2 linked regions of the Macaca fascicularis genome follow. The protein of the gene in region 2 binds, or shares a complex with, the protein of the main gene of each other region. Links are inferred from orthologs where the notes say so. Each region holds a gene or a part of one and is shown on either strand. Other genes may lie near its edges.

Evidence for each region. Proteins that work in one complex are often made in the same cells at the same time.
Region 1: POLR3D (region 2) and POLR3K share a complex: the UniProt entries of both Homo sapiens proteins name them as parts of the RNA polymerase III complex. The link is inferred for Macaca fascicularis from reciprocal best matches to the Homo sapiens genes POLR3D and POLR3K.

The regions. Positions count from the first base shown.
Region 1 is NC_088394.1:779,923-789,468, reverse strand, and holds the start of POLR3K (DNA-directed RNA polymerase III subunit RPC10), read left to right. Parts: upstream 1-4,797; 5' UTR 4,798-4,849; coding exon 4,850-4,960; intron 4,961-7,381; coding exon 7,382-7,469; intron 7,470-9,546. Other genes in the region: RHBDF1 (inactive rhomboid protein 1), read left to right, coding at 1-202; SNRNP25 (U11/U12 small nuclear ribonucleoprotein 25 kDa protein), read right to left, coding at 1,372-1,429, 1,901-1,975, 2,600-2,705, 2,933-3,023, 4,380-4,523. UniProt on the Homo sapiens protein: Core component of RNA polymerase III (Pol III) which synthesizes small non-coding RNAs using the four ribonucleoside triphosphates as substrates. Can mediate Pol I proofreading of the nascent RNA transcript.
Region 2 is NC_088382.1:25,313,837-25,323,382, forward strand, and holds the start of POLR3D (DNA-directed RNA polymerase III subunit RPC4), read left to right. Parts: upstream 1-3,523; 5' UTR 3,524-3,608; exon of another isoform or gene 3,609-3,645; intron 3,646-3,871; 5' UTR 3,872-3,876; coding exon 3,877-4,041; intron 4,042-5,640; coding exon 5,641-5,684; intron 5,685-6,269; coding exon 6,270-6,421; intron 6,422-6,565; coding exon 6,566-6,690; intron 6,691-6,894; coding exon 6,895-7,063; intron 7,064-7,458; coding exon 7,459-7,721; intron 7,722-8,811; coding exon 8,812-8,964; intron 8,965-9,132; coding exon 9,133-9,255; 3' UTR 9,256-9,546. UniProt on the Homo sapiens protein: DNA-dependent RNA polymerase catalyzes the transcription of DNA into RNA using the four ribonucleoside triphosphates as substrates.

The DNA.
Region 1 (9,546 bases), on a different chromosome or scaffold from region 2:
TATCAGCTTTGGCAAGTTCGACCTGTACCGGAAACGCTGCCAGATCATCATCTTTCAGGTGGTCTTCCTGGGCCTCCTGGCTGGCCTGGTGGTCCTCTTCTACTTCTATCCTGTCCGCTGTGAGTGGTGCGAGTTCCTCACTTGCATCCCCTTCACTGACAAGTTCTGCGAGAAGTACGAACTGGACGCTCAGCTCCACTGAGCTGGCTGCGGGCTCCGGGGGTCGTGCGCTCCAGCAGGCCAGAGCCAGACACGACAACTCTGAGCCTCACAGGCTTACAGGAGTCACCTGCTCCATGTGGGGACTGGCCTGTTTCCTGGACACAGACCTCTTTCTTTTGCCTTGTTCACTTCTGTTGAACCCCTCGTACTGCTGGGCATTTATTATACTACTTCCCGTGATAACCTTCTAACTTGTTTCTTGACGACCACCTCATGTGGCCAATAAATGGACTGGGAGCGTTTTAGCTGCCATTAACTTGACCAGGGCTTCCCCTTCCTTCTTTGTTTCTGGCTGGGAGCTGTGGAGGGGCCTGCAGCCAACTCACTGGGCAGGGAACTGAGTGTCAGATACAGTCAACAGGCTCTTTTGCTTCCCAGTGAAATCCTTCAGCCGGGCACGTGCACCTTGCTCTTTCTCCTTAGAGTGCCTGGTAGCCGACGCTGGGACAAGGACCTAGGGATGTGCTGTCACACCCTCCCCACGTGCTGGGAAACACCCCGCCCCTACCCTCAGCAGCTCCAATTTCCACCCTGCACTACCTCCCTGTCCACTGAATCTGCTGAAGGCACTGCTACAGGCGAACCCTAAAGGCTGACGCTGGAGGGCCCACACATAGCCGTGCTGTGCTCGCTGCCACCTGCCACTGTGAGCTCCAGGACGCAGACCCTAAAGCCACTCTGCTTTTATTTCCTCCTTGCTGTGGAGATGATGGTAACACAGTTGTGTGGTTTGGGGAGTGGTGTGGCCACAAGGCTTTGGTGGTGTGACATCTTGGACTATAGGACTTACGTGTACCAATTCTCTCCCCTTAACTCACCTCTGTGATGGGGCAACCTCAGTCTTTGCTACCCAGGGTACTGTGGCTTTTGACTTTTAGAAGCACACAGGTTTATTTTATACACAGGGCCAGGCTGTGGCTCTGCCATGTGACCAGGGTCTTTGGACCCAAGGAGAGGTCAGTCTCAGGCCAAGTACATGAAAGAAGGGAGCACTGGCTCACCCTGTCCTAGTCCTGAGGGCCCCCAGGTTCATGCTGACAGTTCCTGTTGGGTGCCTTTGTGTGAAAGAGGCACAATGACTCGAGGATCTGATCCTGCTGGGAAAAAGCTCAGCCACCAGTGATAAAGAGAGTTGTCCTGTCTGGAGGCTCACTTTTGCCTCAGCTTTTTGATGAAGGAAACCTCATCTCGATTCCGGATGCCATAACTGAAAAAGAAGGAAAGGCGTAAAGCACCTGCCCTACAGAAGGACACATCTGTGACTCCCCTCCTTAGGCTTGTGGGGGGCCACGAAGAAACAACAGAGGGGAGGCATGTGGCCTCTGGGAAGGCCAGGAAGTGGTAGTGGCCATCCTCTCACAGACCCAGAAGCACTCTGACTCACAAGTCCCTGGGGCAGGGAACTGAGTGTCAGATAGTCATAGCCTTTCGCTTCCATGCCCACTCTGATTTCCTCCCTCCTGGCACTGTGTAGCCCTAAGCTGCCACTGGTGGGAAGCAGCAAGGCCCCTCCAGTGCCCTCTGCCTGCCATTCTCCTAGTGGGGAGGGCCCCAAGGAAGCTCCTTGGAGGAGGGTGTTACCTCCAGAGAGTGAGCCGCAGCCCTCTGGCAGAGCACGGGGGACTAGGGGTCAACAGAACAGCTGTCCCCTACAGCTCAAGATGTGGCCGGCACTTACTCTCGGAGCTTCTTTTTATCTTCTGTGAGTTTCTCTCCGGCAGAGGTCAGATGGTACGTCCTCCACACATAAGACCTGCAAGAGGGGAACGCAGGTAAACCACACGCCCTGAGCAGGGTGAGCTGAGTGGCTGTGCATGGCGTGGGCTTGAGGCATTCAGCCCTATGGGACCTGGGGCAGCTGTCCTCCCTACCTGGGCTGTTCTGTACAATGTGCAAATTGGCTCTGAGGCGGCTGCACGGAGGCTCTGTTCTCAGAGGCCTGTATGGGGCGGCTTGCTAATGCAATAGGTGACAGTGTTGAGACTCAGTGAACAGGACAGTTGATCCAATAGGAGAGTGAGGGCTGCCAGCACCCAGGTGAGAAGGGGATGGTAGCCACTACAGGTGTACCATCCATAACTAGGGAGGCCACTTCCACACACACTGGAAATGCCCGACGGGGTCCCCAAGTGAGGATATCCAGCAGCTTGGATGGGGTGATGGCGATGAAAGCAGTATGTTAGGGATGGCCGAGGCAGGAGTCCCAGGCACAGAAGGACCTGCACTGTCTGAACTCTTGTGACGGGGAGCTCATCACTTCAGTGGTGCTGTACTCATGCAGAGTTGAGAGCTGTTTCCAGGTGGTGCCTGGTGACAGTGCCAAGAACAGCACTAGCCCCAGGAAGGGCTATAATGAAGGGATTGTCGTTCCACTTACCAGCTGATGTGCTGAATGCCCCCTTCACGCTCCTGCTTGAGCTGCACGTATCTCTGGATGGCCTTCTTCAGGTCCAGGACGGTGGCACTCTGCACTACCACCACAGCTGCAACCACGGACACAGATGGGAGAAGATCCACAGTGAGAACCCAAAGCCATAGCCTCCGATGGCAGGAAAGGAACCCGGAAGCTCTGTGCACAGGGCAGGTTTGTGGTTGCCCCAGTACCCCTGGGCATGGCCTGTGAGTTGCGGAGCAGGCTGACCAGCACTGTTACATTTTGCTGCTGTGAAAGCCTGGACCACATAACCTGAAGGGAGGAGGGCACACTTACGCATTACTTCTCCATCCATCTTGCACACTCGGACCGTCATTGCCTGGCCATATTCTAGGGCTATTTGGGAGTTGACTTCTTCCAAAGTAACCTAGAAAAGACCAAGGGCAGAAGTGGGAACCCTGGCTGTCTTTACAACAACAAAGAACAAGCTGACAGTGGCCAAAAAGTGGTGCTCCATTTTACGAAGGGCAAGGAAGGGTACTTGCATATATGTTAGAGTTTCCCAATTCATCAGAGCCCCAATCTCATGTTCCACTCACATTTTAATGTCCAAAGTGGACAGAGTCTCTGGGGGAAAGAGGTGCTAAAAAACAGGCAAGAGAATAAACTCACATGAGGATCCATCCCCAGGGGTGGGTGGGGTCCTGTCAGTTCACCCTGAGTATCCCTGATCATCAGGACCCAGGCCAGGGCCCAGGACTGAGTAAGGCAGGTGTACACAAAAAACGGTAATAACAAATATTTTAATACAACATTTAAGAAATACAAGGCAATTAAAATATCCATGATGAGCAAAATATAAAACATTTAAAACTGGCCGGGTGCGGTGGTCCACGCCTGTAATCCCAGCACTTGGGAGGCCGAGGCCAGCGGATCACTAGATCAGGAGATTGAGACCATCCTGGCCAACATGGTGAAACCCCGTCTCCACTAAAATACAAAAAATTAGCCGGGCGTTGTGCCGTGTTCCTGTAGTGAACCTGGGAGTGGGAGGTTGCAGTGAGCCAAGATCGCACCACTACACTCCAGCCTGGCGACAAATCAAGACTCAGTCTCAAATAAATAAAAAGTATCGTGCCAAAGCATATTGACGCTTGAGGCAAATGGAACTAAGTTTTTTCGTTTATCGTAGGGTTTTTTTTTTTTTTTTTTTTTTTTTTGCATCACCTTTGACTTTTAAAGCTATTACAGGCCGAGTGGGTGGCTCACACCTATAATCCCAGCTTTTTGGGAGGCTGAGGTAGGAGAATCGCCTGAGCCCAGGAGTTTGACACCAGCCTGGGCAACATAGTGGGACTCCCTCTGTACAAAAAATTTAAAAATTAGCCGGGTGTGGTGGCGCGCATCTGTGGTCCCAATTACTCCGGAGGCTGAGGTGGGAGGATGGCTTGAGCTCAGGAGGTGCAGGCTGCAGTGAGCCAAGATCGCTCCACTGCACTCCAGCCTGGGCGACAGAGCAAGACCCTGTCCCCCCAGCCCCCTAAATACAATTACATTAAAATTTCATTTAATGTCACTCACTAATGAGGGTTTTGGTTCCTCTTTAAACTTCGCGCCGCAGGCGAGTGTGCCTGGCCAAGGTAAAGACCCTTGTTTACGCCCAGAGGCGCCTTCCTCAGCCTTGGGCCGCAGCCTCCCACCAGCACCTTCAGAGGCTGCGCGCGCCCGGACGCCCGGCCCCCGGGGAACGACTCCCGCCCCCCTGGCCCCCGCCAGCACACACCTGGATCGGCAGATCGCAGAGCAGCGGGTCCTGCACCACCATAGCCAGACCCTCCTGGAACACGTCCATGGCCTCGGAGTGCGGCAGCGCCTCTTCTTCGTCCTCATCTTCCTCTTGCGCCTCGGACCCACCCGCGGCCTCCATCTCCTCCAGGGCAGCACCTCTCAGCCGGTCTCTGCCGGCACTTCCAGTACGCACTAGGGAGGCCAAGCGCGCACGCGCAGGAACTGCGGCCGGTCCCAGCGAGGCCGCCCAGCCATTGGTGCGCCGAGGGGTGGGGCGGCTGCAGTGACCAATGACAAGTGCGAGACAGCCAGCAGCAGGGCTGGGAGCGCAGAATCGCCCTGTCTATTGGTTGGTGGGCGGGGCGAGGCGGCCGCCAGGACCAATGTAAGCTCGAGGCGGGCCGCGCGTCGGCGCTGAGCGGCAGTGTGAGCTGCCGGTGGTTGGCGCCTGCGGAGTTCGAGACCATGCTGCTATTCTGCCCCGGCTGCGGGAACGGGCTGATCGTGGAGGAGGGACAACGCTGCCACCGCTTCGCCTGCAACACGTGCCCCTACGTGCACAACATCACCCGCAAGGTGGGACCCGAAGGCCGGCGCTGGGCCGCGGGCGCCTCTCGCAGGCCTTCCCCTTCCTCCGACTGCGGCGCCATCGCCGCCAGCCCCGGCGTCTGCCTCTGTCCGCTCTTTCTCGCTCCCCCTTCCGGTCTGCAGCAGATCTGTGGGCTCTTTCTGTGGGCTCCAGCACACTCAGAAAGCCCCACCGTTTCCCGCCTCCTTGGGTTCCTGCTCCCACGCTTGCGCCCTCCTCTGCGTTCACAGCAGCGGCCACGGCGATTCCCTTAAAGCTGAGGCACGTAGGTCCGTGCTGTGCGCAGAAACCTTCGGCCGTTCCCCAGCTCGTGCAGACGAAAAGCTGGAATTCTTCCAGGGCCTACCATGTTCAGACACTGACCCCCTCCCCGACTTGCTTCTCCGATTTCAAGTCCTATTGCCCTTTGCCCCATCAACACCAGCCTCCTGGACGATCTCTCATTGTGCACATGGCGCTCGCAGGGCCTTTGCACTTACTGTTACTAACTTCGCTCTTCCCCTAGATAGCCACCTTACTCATTGGTCTTGTCTTTACCGTATTTTAAATTGCAGCCCCTCCGTCCAATGTATCCTCCTTCCCTTTGTAATTGTTTCCACAGGGCTTGTTACCTTCGAATACATTACGTAATGTATCGTGTGCTTTGTTTATTAATAGTAGGACCTGGCCGGGCGCCGTGGCTCACGCCTCTAATCCCAGCACTTTCGGAGGCCAAGGCGGGTGTATCACTTGAGGTTAGGAGTTCGAGACCAGCCTGACTGACATGATGAAACCCCATCTCTACTAAAAATACAAAAATTAGCCGGGCATGGTGGCAGGCGCCTGTAATCCCAGCTATTCGGGAGACCGAGGCAGGAGAATGGCTTGAACTTGGGCGGCGGAGGTTTCAGTGAGCCAAGATCGCGCCACTGCACTCCAGCCTGGGCAACAAGAGTGAAACTCCGTTTCAAAAAAAAGAAAAAAAAAGTAGGACCTAAGGTCTAGGAGGGCAGAGGTTTTCCGTTTTGTTCCCTTCTATGTTATATTCTGAACAACTAAAATGAAACCTAGAATATAGTAGGTGTTCAGTAAGCAGATGATGCATGCTTTATTATAACTTGTTGTTTTCCTTTGATAATACATATTTTCTTTTTACTTTTTAGAATACTTTTACTTTTTTTTTTTTTTTTGAGACGGAGTCTCCCTCTGTCGCCCAGGCTGGAGTGCAGTGGCGCCATCTCGGTTCACTGCAAGCTTCGCCTCCCGTGTTCACGCCATTCTCCTGCCTCAGCCTCCCTAGTAGCTGGGACTATAGGCGCCCACCACCACGCCCGGCTAATTTTTAATATTTTTAGTAGAGACAGGGTTTCACCGTGTTAGCCAGGATGGTCTCAATCTCCTGACCTTGTGATCCGCCCGCCTCGGCCTCCCAAAGTGCTGGGATTACAGGTGTGAGCCACCACGCCTGGCCAATTTTTTTGTGTTTTTAGTGGACAGGCTTTCCCCGTGTATTAGCCAGGATGGTCTCGATCTCCTGACCTTGTGATCCGCCTGCCTTGGCCTCCCAAAGTGCTGGGATTACAGGCGTGAGCCACCGTGCCCAGCTTTTTTTTTTTTTTTTTGAGACACAGTCTGGCTTTGCTTCCCAGGCTGGAGTGCAATGGTGCAATCTCGGCTCACTGCCACCTCTGCCTCCCGGGTTCAAACAATTCTTCTGCCTTAGCTTCCTGAGTAGCTGGGATTACAGGCTCCTGCCACCACCCCCCAGCTAATTTTTGTATTTTTGGTAAAGACGGGGTTTCACCACGGTGACCAGGCTGGTCTCGAACTCCTGACCTCAGGTGATCCACTTGCCTTGGTCTCCCAAAGTGCTGGGATTACAGGCATGAGCCACGACGTCTGGCCAGAATACCTTTATTTTTAGAAGTTAGAATATGTTGGTGCTACCGCCGGGCGCGGTGGCTCACGCCTGTAATCCCAGCACTTTGGGAGGCCGAGGCGGGCGGATCACAAGGTCAGGAGATCGAGACCACGGTGAAACCCCGTCTCTACTAAAAATACAAAAAATTAGCCGGGCGCGGTGGCGGGCGCCTGTAGTCCCAGCTACTCAGGAGGCTGAGGCAGGAGAATGGCGTAAACCCAGGAGGCGGAGCTTGCAGTGAGCCGAGATCGCGCCACTGCACTCCAGCCTGGGCGACAGAGCGAGACTCCGTCTCAAAAAACAAAACAAAACAAAACAAAAAAAAGAATATGTTGGTGCTACCTCAGTCTTAATGTTTGCATGCTACTACATTTTGTACTGTGTTGTGGGAGTTTGGAGTTGGAAACTGTGGGAAGAGTGAACTCTTATATAATCCTGAAATTCGAGGTTTGGCAGCCCAGGTTTGTGCTATGCAGTTACCTGGAGTCTGAAGTGTTGTTTTTGTTAGGTAACAAATCGGAAGTACCCAAAACTGAAAGAAGTGGATGATGTGCTTGGTGGAGCAGCTGCCTGGGAGAATGTTGACTCTACTGCAGGTAAGAGGGAACACTGTTTCTGTTGCTAAACTGGATAATTATGAGGCTGTTGATGCCACTGCATGGCAGAGTCTGTGATGTCATATAAATGATGTAGGTTTCTAAAAATAGAAATGGTTTTTGAATAATTTATTAGTATTTGTTACTGTTTAGTAATCTGTTACACAAGCAATATTTGTACAAGCCTTGGAGTCATACAGGCCCATGTTAGATCCTCAGGCCCTTGTACTGTGGTAGGACCTTCCTTGGGTCTCTTGACTTCTCTGGGGCTAATCCATATTCGTAGATCGTGAGAGCATAAAGTGAGTTATACCGTGCTTGGTATATAAGAGGCAGTGAGCAGGTGATAGCTTTGATAATGGCAATGATGAGTAGATTAATAAAAATAAGAATCTAAGGAAAAAAGTATGTTCTTTCTGTTTGATATGGTTTGGCTGTGTCTTCACCCAAACATCTTTTTATTTTTATTTTTTTTTTGAGACTGAGTCTGGCTCTGTCGTCCAGGCTGGAGTGCAGTGGCCGGATCTCCGCTCACTGCAAGCTCCGCCTCCCGGGTTTACGCCATTCTCCTGCCTCAGCCTCCCGAGTAGCTGGGACTACAGGCGCCGCCACTTCGCCCGGCTAGTTTTTTGTATTTTTTAGTAGAGACGGGGTTTCACCGTGTTCGCCAGGATGGTCTCGATCTCCTGACCTTGTGATCCACCCGTCTCGGCCTCCCAAAGTGCTGGGATTACAGGCTTGAGCCACCGTGCCCGGCCACCACCCAAACATCTTGAATTATGGTTCTTGTAATCCCCAGGTGTCCTGGGAGGGGCTCACTGGGAAGGAATTGAGTCAGTCATGGGAGTGGTTCCCCCCCCTCCGTGCTGTTCTCACAAGATCTGATTGTTTTATGAGCGTTTGGCATTTCCCCTGCTCACACTCATTCTGTCTTTTGCTGCCTGTGTGAAGAGGTACCTTCCTCCATGATTGTAGGTTTCCTGAGGCATCCGCAACCACACAGAACTGTGAGTAAATTTAGACCCCTTTTCTTGGCTGGGCGCGGTGGCTCACGCCTGTAATCCCAGCAGTTTGGGAGGCCAAGGTTGGCAAATCACTTGAGGTCAGGAGTTCCAGACCAGCCTGGCCCACATGGCGAAACCCTGTCTCTGCTAAAAATAAAATAATTAGTCGGTCGTGGTGGTGCGAGCCTGTAGACCCAGCTGCTCAGGAGGCTGAGGCACGAGAATTGCTTGAACCCGGGAGGCAGAGGTTGCAGTGAGCTGAGATCGCACTATTGTGCTCCAGCCTTGATGACAAGAGTGAGACTCTGTCTCAAAACAAACAAACCAACAAACGAAACCGCTTTTTCCTATGTAAATTACCCAGTCTCAGGTATTCATATCAGTGTGAGAACGGACTAATACACTGTGCTCATATAGATTTCTAGAAGTTAATACCAATGAGCATGAGCATTAAACTGCAGATTGGGTAAAATAAATGTGTATTGCATGTCTGATAGAGATAGATGTGACCAGCAGAGGAAAGGGGAAGGCCCTAAATATAAGATGTATTGAGAGGAGAGAGAGAACTGATGGTTAGTACTGTGTTTTTCCCCCGATAGAAGAACATATAGGCCGGGTGCGGTGGCTCACACCTGCAATCCCAGCACTTTGGGAGGCCAGTACGGGCGGATCACCTGAGGTCAGGAGTTTGAAAGCAGCCTGGCTAACACGAAGAAACCCCGTTTCTACTAAAAATACAAAAAATTAGGCAGGTGTGGTGGCGGGCACTGGTAATGCCAGCTACTCGGGAGGCTGGCACAGGTGAATCACTTGAACCCGGGAAGCAGAGGTTGCAGTGAGCCGAGATTGCGTCATTGCACTCCAGCTTGGGCAACAAGAGGGAAACTGTCAAAAAAAAAAAAAAAAGAAGAACATAGAAATCTAATCTGCTATGTGAAAAAGTTAGTGGCCAGCGCGGTGGCTCACACCTATAATCTCAGCACTTTGGGAGGCCAGTGCGGGTGGATCATGAGGTCAAGACATCAAGACCATCCTGGCCAACATGGTGAAACCCTGTTTCTTTTAAAAATACA
Region 2 (9,546 bases):
CGGAGTCAATAAATTTCAAAGTCAATAAAAGTTCTTTTTTTTTTTTGAAACGGAGTCTTCCTCTGTCTCCCAGGCTGGAGTGCAGTGGCGCGATCTCGGCTCACTGCAACATCCGCCTCCCGGATTCAACCTATTCTCCTGCCTCAGCCTCCCAAGTAGCTGGGATTACAGGCGCATGCCACCACGCCCAGCTAATTTTTGTATTTTTAGTAGAGATGGGTTTTCACCATGTTGGTCAGGCTAGTCTCGAACTCCTGACCTTGTGATCCGCCCACCTTGGCCTCCCAAAGTGCTGGGATTATAGGTGTGAGCCACTGCGCCCAGCCTGTTTGTTTGTTTGTTTTCAGATGGAGTTTTGCTCTTGTCGCCCAGGCTGGAGTGCAATGGCGCAATCTTGGCGCACTGCAATCTCCTTCTCCTGGGTTCAAGCGATTCTCCGGCCTCAACCTCCCAAGTAGCTGGGATTACTGATGCCCGCCACCACGCCTGGCTAATTTTTGTACTTTTAGTAGAGACAGGGTTTCACCATGTTGGCCAGGCTGGTCTCGAACTCCTGACCTCAGGTGATCCACCCGCCTCAGCCTCCCAAAGTGCTGGCATTACAGGCATGAGCCACCACACCTAGCCAATAAAAGTTCTTTAAATTCCAACAGTAGAGCAAACTTGGTATTCAGATTCCTTCCAGGCTTTGACAATGAGTGCACATGAGGGCCACTGCTGTGAGCCCAGGATGGGTGTGACTAGGCACCGGTTGACCCATTGTGGCTGTTCCAAGGCTGCCCACATAGCCTCACCCAGGACTCCATCAAAAGCCCACAATGTGTGTATATGTGTATACATTTGATTATTGTATATACACACATTCTTAGTGTTGATGTATTTCAGCACAATCTTTTTTATTTTTTTTTGTGGAGTTTGTTTGTTTTTGGTGTTTTGAGACAGACTGTCCCCCTGTCGCCCAGGTTGGAGTGCAACGGCGTGATCTCAGCTCACTGCAACCTCCGCCTCCCCGGTTCAAGCGATTCTCGTGCCTCAGCCTCCCAAGTAGCTGGAATTATGGGCATGCACCATCACACCCAGCTAATTTTTGTATTTTTAGTAGAGACGGGGTTTCGCCATGTTGGCCAGCTGGTCTGGAACTCCTGACCTCAAGTGATCTGCCCACCTTGGCCTTCCAAAGTGCTGGGATTACTGGTGTGAGCCACCAGGCCCGGCCGCACAATCCTTTTTGAAAGCAATTTAGCAATATGAATGAAGAACCATAAAATGTGCACGTACAAAATGGTACAGCCACTGTGGAAAACAGCTTGGCAGTTTCTTGTAAAACTAAGATACAACTACCACATGACCCAATGATTGCACTCATGGGCAATTATCCCAGAGAAATAAAAACTTATGTTCACACAAAATCTTGTACATGTATTTTCACAGCAGCTTTATCCATAATAACCCCACACGGAAAACCACCCAGATGTCTTTCAGAGGGTGAATGGTTAAACAAACCATGAATACTTTGCAATAAAAGGGAACGAACTATTGATACACGCAACAACTTGGATGATCTCCGGGGAACAATGCCGAGTGAAAAAAGCAATCCCAAGAAGTCACATACTGTACGATTCCATTTATATAACACTTTTGAAATACCAAAATGGCAGAAATGGAAAACAGATTAGTGGTGGGAGGAGGTGGGGGGAGGGAAGTGTGGCTATAAAAGGGCAGCTAGAGGAATCCTTGTGATGGTAACTTCTTGTATCTTGACTGCACCAATGTCAATATTCTGATGGCAAGATGTTACTACTGGGGGAAAATGAATAAACAATACTTGGGATCTCTCTACATGGTTTCTTATAACTCTACATGAATCTACCATGTTCTCAAAATAAAAAGTTTAATTTAAAAAATGTTTTTAGAGATAGGGTCTTGCTGTGTCACCCAGGCTGGAGTGTGGGGGCTGGATCGTAGCTCACTGCAATCTCGAACTGCTGAGCCTTTCAAGCGATCCTCCCACCTCCGCCTCCCAAAGCACTGGGATTACAAGCGTAAGCCACCAAGCCCATCCCAAATATTTACTTTAAAAAAAAAAAAAAAAAAAAAAAAAACAAAAAACAAAAAAAAAACCCACCTTCTTTTGGCCAGTTATCCCAGGACGGGAAATCTATCCCAGGAATATAATCCGAAAGAAAACAAAAACCAAAACAAAATTGAAAAAAAGCACGTCGAATGTACCAGATATTCACTACAGCATTATTTAAAACAGGGAAAAAAGAAACAATCAGGGAAATACTTAAATCATGATACAGCCACTGGAGAACTATGCAGTCTTTGATGCCGTAACAGAGAAATGTTATTTGAAAAAGCAGGATACAGGCCAGGCGCAGTGGCTGACGCCTGTAACCCCAGCACATTGGGAGGCCGAGGCGGGTGGCATCACTCGAGCTCAGGAGTTCAAGACCAGTGTGAGCAACACAGTGAAATCCCGTCTCTACCAAAAATACAAAAAAAAAAAAAAAAGAAAAAAGAAAAAGAAAAAGAAAAAAGAAAAAAAAAATTAGCCGGGCGTGGTGGCATGTATTTAGAGTCCCAGCTACTTGGGAGGCTGAGGTGGGAGCATGGCTTGAGGCTGGGAGGCAGAGGTTGCAGTATGCAGAAACCTCGCCTCAAAAAAAGAAAAGAAAAAGGATACGAAATTGTGATACAACTCTGTGAAGACTACTAGACACATTACAAAATTTTTAATAGTAGTACTCTACGTGGCATTCTGGTAGAAACGATTTCCTTTCCTCAAACTCCCCGTAATAATGTTTTTATACGGTCTGGGGGGATGGGAGATAACATTAAACGACACTTTTTATATCACAAACGCTGGAGTCAATAAAAGTTCTTTAAATTCCTCCAGCAGTAGAGCAAACTTGGTATTCCGATTCTGTCCAGGCTTTGACCAAGAGCGCACCCGAGGGCCACCGCCTTCGTGATCCCAAGCGGGTGTGACTGGGCACCAGTTGGTCCACTGCGGCTGTTCCAACGCTGCCCTCACAGCCTCACCCCAGGACTCCACCAGGAGCACAGGGAAGGGGTCCCCGAGAGTGGGCGAGGTCGCTGCCCGGAGGTAGTGACCACTCCAAGGTCACCATGGAGAACCCGCAGACAGGGCTCGGCACGGCCCAAGACTCCCCGACTCTAAGTCCAGGTCTCGCTCTCTGTGCCGCGCCCCTCGTCCCATCCCGAGCAGCTACCCCCAAGCTCCCAGGGGCTCCGCCGAGGCGAAGCCTCACATTGCGGCTTGGCGGCCGACAAGACCCGCGACCCTGATCTCGGCACCTCCACGCCACCGCCCGGGGGCCAAGACCCCCGAGCACCGCCACATAGCGTAGCCCAGACCGGTTCCCTCATCCTTTTTCGCCCTCTCAACCCAGCTTTTCCCGACTCCGGGAAGAACCGGGAAGAGAAGGCGGAGGGGAGCGAAGCGCCGCCTGATAAATACTGTGGCCCAGTCCCGCCCCCGAAACGTCACATCCGGCCCGTGCCAAGATGGCAGCGCCCAGGCGGTGCCACGCAGACTTCCGCCCGGTGCGGAGACCTAAAGCTGGCAGCGGGTCGCGTCGCAGGTGAAGTGGTGACGCGCGGTGTGGAGCCGCGGCCCGGGTGCGTCCCTGCCTGGTTCCTGGGCGGGGTTCCTGGAGAGAGGGCGTGTCGCGAGCCAAAGGCTCTCACCTGGGTGGTCCCGGGAATCTCGCCACGTGGGAGGGGAGGAGCTGAGAGGCCACTGGAGGGACGCACCGACTGGGGGACCGGAAAGCAAGGGGGTTGGGTTCCGCCAGGGTCCGCGTGTCAGTCCACTCTGGTAATCTCGTCCCCCCTTCTCTCCCAGGCAACATGTCGGAAGGAAACGCCGCCGGCGAGCCCAGCACTCCGGGAGGGCCCCGACCCCTCCTGACTGGGGCCCGGGGGCTCATCGGGCGGCGGCCGGCGCCTCCCCTCACCCCCGGCCGCCTTCCCTCCATCCGTTCCAGGGACCTCACCCTCGGGGGAGTCAAGAAGGTATCCAACGGCGCGTTTCTAAAGAAACTCAACTACCTTGAATTCCAAGCCCCGGCATTCAACTGATGTTTGTGTAGGGCCTACTATGTGTCAGGAGTGTCGTTGGGCCTCAAGCCTACCCCTCTTTAAATTCTAGGGAGCCTGTCCTATCTTCAAATCTAGGTACTGAGTACAAAATGTTGAAATGAGTCCCAGAGGTGGTTGAAAGACAGAGAATCCTAATAAGTTAAAGTCGTTCAAAAGTAATTTGAACAGTGTTTATTTACTCTTATTGTGTGTTTGGACATTTTTAAGAAACCCATGAAAGCCAGGCAGGCATAAACTTCACAGTCTTAGAGCGTTCAGAATTCACCATCTCAGTGTGCAAACTTGTTATCTAGAGTATCATGAATCCTAGGCATGGCATTCGAGGCTCTGTGGGCTGTCCCATGTGTATATGACTGTGGATGTCAAGAGTAGCCCAGAAAGGGGTGGTGTCAGGATGACAGAAGAATAAAGCAGGTTTTTGGGTTTTTTTTTTGAGACGAAGTCTCGCCCTAGTCCCCCAAACTGGAGTGTAATGGCATGATCTTGGCTCACTGCAACCTCTGCCTCCCGGGTTTGAGTGATTCTCCTGCCTCAGCCTCCTGAGTAGCTGGGATTACAGGTGCCCGCCACCATGTCCAGCTGATTTTTGTATTTTTAGTAGACACAAGGTTTCACCATGTTGGCCAGGCTGTTCTTGAACCCCTGACCTTGTGATCCACCCACCTCGGCCTCCCAAAGTGCTGGGATTACAGGCGTGAGCCACCGCTCCCGGCCAAATAAAGCAGTTTTTTTTGTTTGTTTGTTTTGTTTTTAACAGAGTCTCTTTCTGTCGCCCAGGCTGTAGCACAGAGGCACCATCTCAGCTCACTGCAACCTCCACCTCCTGGGGTTCAAGCGATTCTCCTCCCTCAGCCTCCCGAGTAGCTGGGATTACAGAGGCCTGCCACCGCACCTGGCTAATTTTTGTAGTTTTTAGTAGAGACGGGGTTTCACCATCTTGGCCAGGCTGATCTTGAACTCCTGACCTCATGATCCACCTGCCTTGGCCTCCCAAAGTGCTGCGATTACAGGCGTGAGCCACCACGCCTGGACATAAAGCAGTCTTTAGAAACCTAACTTTGCCTTGGAAAATATGGAAAAACACTGCCAACAGTGATTGAGAGTATTGGCAGATCTGTGGCCTTCCCTACTTAGGCCTTGCTGCTAGAGATGTTCCCCCATGATACTGACTGGTCTCTATAGCAGTTTGAAGATAAGAGGTGAGACCAGAGAAATTCCTTTGCTTTTAGAAGTCCCAGAGGACCTTCTTTCAGGATCTTCTTTCCTAAGGCTGCTGGTTAAAAATGGTTTTTGGTGCCCCTTTCTTCTATGCATAACTCCACTGCCACCACACCATGACGTTCCTCCTTTTCAGGCACACGTGTATCTAGAAAACTGACAGCACTGTGGAATGTGCCAAAGAGAGTCATGGTGGCCGTGGTCTGTAGAAGATGCCCGTTGGGAGTTTTTATTTTCCTCTGTACTTTGGGATCAGGACCTAACACATCAGTGACTCCTGTATTTTGCTTTCAGAAAACCTTCACCCCAAATATCATCAGTCGGAAGATCAAGGAAGAGTAAGTAGCTAGTCCTTCTGAATACTTGCCCCTTATTTACTTGCTCTGAATTTGGGGCTTTGGGGAGAAATAAGTAGGTTTGTGGCTCCAAAATTTAAATTTATATCTTTAGTTCTTTTCACTAGTGATTTTCAACCCTGGCTCCTAGGTGATTCTAATGTTTAAGCTTTAAAAAAAAAAAATACTGGTGTCTAGGGTTCCATCTCTAGAAATTGTGATTTAACTTGTTGGCAGTAGAATGGAGTGATTCTCTTTGATGGCCCGAGTTGAGAGCCAATAGTTTAAACAAAGATGTATCACGCTTTCCCTGAAGTTCCTTTGCATTTCTGCCTTCCTGCTTTCAGTCCCAATGCAAACAAAAATCTACATTTTTGGACAAGAACGTAAAGTAAAGCAAACTGAAAAAATCCTGCCTCATCAAGGAAGTGAGAAAAGTGCTAGAATTAGGATTGGATTCTGCTTCTCATGGTGTAATTATTGGCTCAAACTCTCCGCTGTCTTGGAGTGAAGTGGTATGGGAGAGTAAGGCCAGTTTTTGGAGACACAGTGAGTGAGTGGTTTCCCTTAATCCATTCTTTTTTCCAGGCCCAAGGAAGAAGTAACTGTCAAGAAGGAGAAGCGTGAAAGGGACAGAGACCGACAGCGAGAGGGGCATGGACGAGGACGAGGCCGCCCAGAAGTGATCCAGTCTCACTCCATCTTTGAGCAGGGCCCAGCCGAAATGATGAAGAAAAAAGGTACAAGGAAGGAATCAGTGAATTTCAGTTCAGACTGCCCAAGAGAAGGGCGAGAGCAGTGGAATTTCCCCGCTCCCAGTTCAGTTTTCCTTGCTGTTGGCATCTTCCTTATTGATCCCTAGTGACCTGGGTGATTTCCCACAGGGAACTGGGATAAGACAGTGGATGTATCAGACATGGGACCTTCTCATATCATCAACATCAAAAAAGAGAAGAGAGAGACAGACGAAGAAACTAAACAGATCTTGCGCATGCTGGAGAAGGACGATGTGGGTACCAGGAGGCTGTGGGGAAGGGGCTTCCTTGTGGCTGTAGAACAGGGCTTCTGGGGAGCCAGGTGAGGGGCAGAAGAGCTCACTGATGTCCTGGAATCCTGGGGAGCAGCAGGAATCTTTGGTTAGAAAGGGACTAAAGCAGACTTTGATCCAGGTGCATGTGCTAGCAGGCTGGATGACCCAGACTCTTTTTGGCAGTTCCTCGATGACCCCGGGCTGAGGAACGACACTCGAAATATGCCTGTGCAGCTGCCGCTGGCTCACTCGGGGTGGCTTTTTAAGGAAGAAAATGACGAACCAGATGTTAAACCTTGGCTGACTGGCCCCAAGGAAGAAGACATGGAGGTGGACGTACCTGCTGTGAAAGGTACTCTTGTCAGTTAACTTCTCATCTCCAATTCCATGGCTGCTCCCCAGGAATCCTGTGCATCAGGCATCCTTTGCATGTGTCCCTGACTGCTGCTCATGAGCAGGTCCTCCCATCCCGGCTGTAAGATACATGAGCTGAACAAAGATGCCCGATTCTCCCTCGCAGAGGGTTCCTGTGTTGGCATGGAGCGGTGGGCCCAGCCTCAGATGTCGCTTTTTAGATAAGTCAGGCGAGATTTAAACATGTTGTCTCTTGCCCCTCTCTATAACCAGTGCCCCCTTCCCACTCCCTGGCTGAGTGACAGTGGAGCAGACGGGGGCAAAGGGCTGGTAACAGTGAGCTAGTATGGAGGGTGGTCATGTGATAGCATTCCATTTCTATCACCCGGGCAGTGAAAGAGGAGCCACGAGATGAGGAAGAGGCCAAGATGAAGGCTCCCCCCAAAGCAGCCAGGAAGACCCCAGGCCTCCCAAAGGATGTATCCGTGGCAGAGCTGCTCAGGGAGCTGAGCCTCACCAAGGAGGAGGAACTGCTGTTTCTGCAGCTGCCAGACACCCTCCCTGGCCAGCCGCCCACCCAGGACATCAAGCCCATCAAGACAGAGGTGCAGGGTGAGGATGGACAGATGATGCTCATCAAGCAGGAGAAAGACCGGGTATGCTCAGGCAGAGGCCTGTGGGATAGAGTCGGGGACTAAGAGGGGAAGTGGTGACCTGTAGTGGGAAGCAAAGCCGTGCCACCCTGGCTGAAATGGGACAATAATGGGTGGTTTTTCTTGATGCCTGCAAGAGCCATGGGTCTTTGTACCTCCAACCCCAATTGTGTGTGTGTGTTGCAGGGATGTGTGTTCACTTCTTATAAGGAAATATTTCAAAGACATACAAATGAGAGAACAGGCCGGGCGCGGTGGCTCAAGCCTGTAATCCCAGCACTTTGGGAGGCTGGGACGGGCGGATCACGAGGTCAGGAGATTGAGACCATCCTGGCTAACACGGTGAAACCCCGTCTCTACTAAAAAAAAACAAAAAACTAGCCGGGTGAGGTGGTGGGTGCCTGTAGTCCCAGCTACTCGGGAGGCTGAGGCAGGAGAATGGCGGGAACCCGGGAGGCGGAGCTTGCAGTGAGCTGAGATCCGGCCACAGTACTCCAGCCTGGGTGACAGAGCGAGACTCCGTCTCAAAAAAAAAAAAAAAAAAAAAAACAAATGAGAGAACATATGGCCAGGTGCGGTGGCTCATGCCTCTAATCCTAGCACTTTGGAAGGGCAAGACGGGAGGATCACTTGAGCCCAGGAGATCGGGACTGGCCTGGGCAACATGGTGGCACCATGGCTAATACAAAAACTAGCCAGGCATGGTGGCGTGTGCCTGTAGTCCCTGCTACTTGGGAGGCTAAGGTGGGGGGATGGCTTGAGCCCAGGAAGCAGAGGTTGCAGTGAGCCAAGATCGCGCCACCACACCCCAATCTGGGTGACACAGTCAGACCTTGTCTCAAAAAAAAATGAGAACATAAACTGCCATGTACCAGAACTCAGCTTCAGCAGTTACTGATATTTTGTCCGTTTATGTATTTGTTTGCTATGGGTTTTGTATTTTAACCATAGCCGACAGCCCTAGGAGAAGGCACTCTTTGGGGAGCTCATTCTGACCTTTGCTGTGCCTTACTCTTAGGGAGTAGAAGGGGGTTCATGAAAGATGGAGGAAAGAGCTCCTAGCCCAGTGTCCATCTTCTGGTTTTCTGCGCAGGAAGCCAAGCTGGCAGAGAATGCTTGTACCCTGGCTGACCTGACAGAGGGTCAGGTTGGCAAGCTACTCATCCGCAAGTCTGGAAGGGTGCAACTCCTCCTGGGCAAGGTGACTCTGGACGTGACCATGGGAACAGCCTGCTCCTTCTTGCAGGTAAGAGCCTCCTTAGGGCAAGGGAGGGACCCTTTAAGGAGTGGAGGAGGATTGAAGAGCCAGTGCTAAATAAGGGAGGGGGTTTCTGGGAGTATCATGTCCCCATTCACAGCTCTACACGCTGGGCACGTGGTGGTGGTTCTCATCACTGTCTCTGTCCATTGGCAGGAGCTGGTGTCCGTGGGCCTTGGAGACAGTAGGACAGGGGAGATGACAGTCCTGGGACACGTGAAGCACAAACTTGTATGTTCCCCCGATTTTGAATCCCTCTTGGATCACAAACACCGGTAAAATGAGCAGATGGAGGAGGACGGTGCCTGTGCCCACGGCTGCTGCCTGCTCCAGACATTTTGTTCTTGAATCTGTGAGACCCAGAAGGGGCCCACTGAGCCCACCCACTCCAGCCTTTGGCAGCCATTGTCCCAGGTCCCCCAGGGCTTCCTCCCATAGCAGCTGTAAATGGCACAGTGAACCTTCCTGCAGCATGGAGATGGCACATCCTTGCTGCTGGGGACTTGGCCCTGCTATTTATTTTTGTATTTATGTCTTAATCTCATCCACTGATGCATCCTCCCAAGGTAG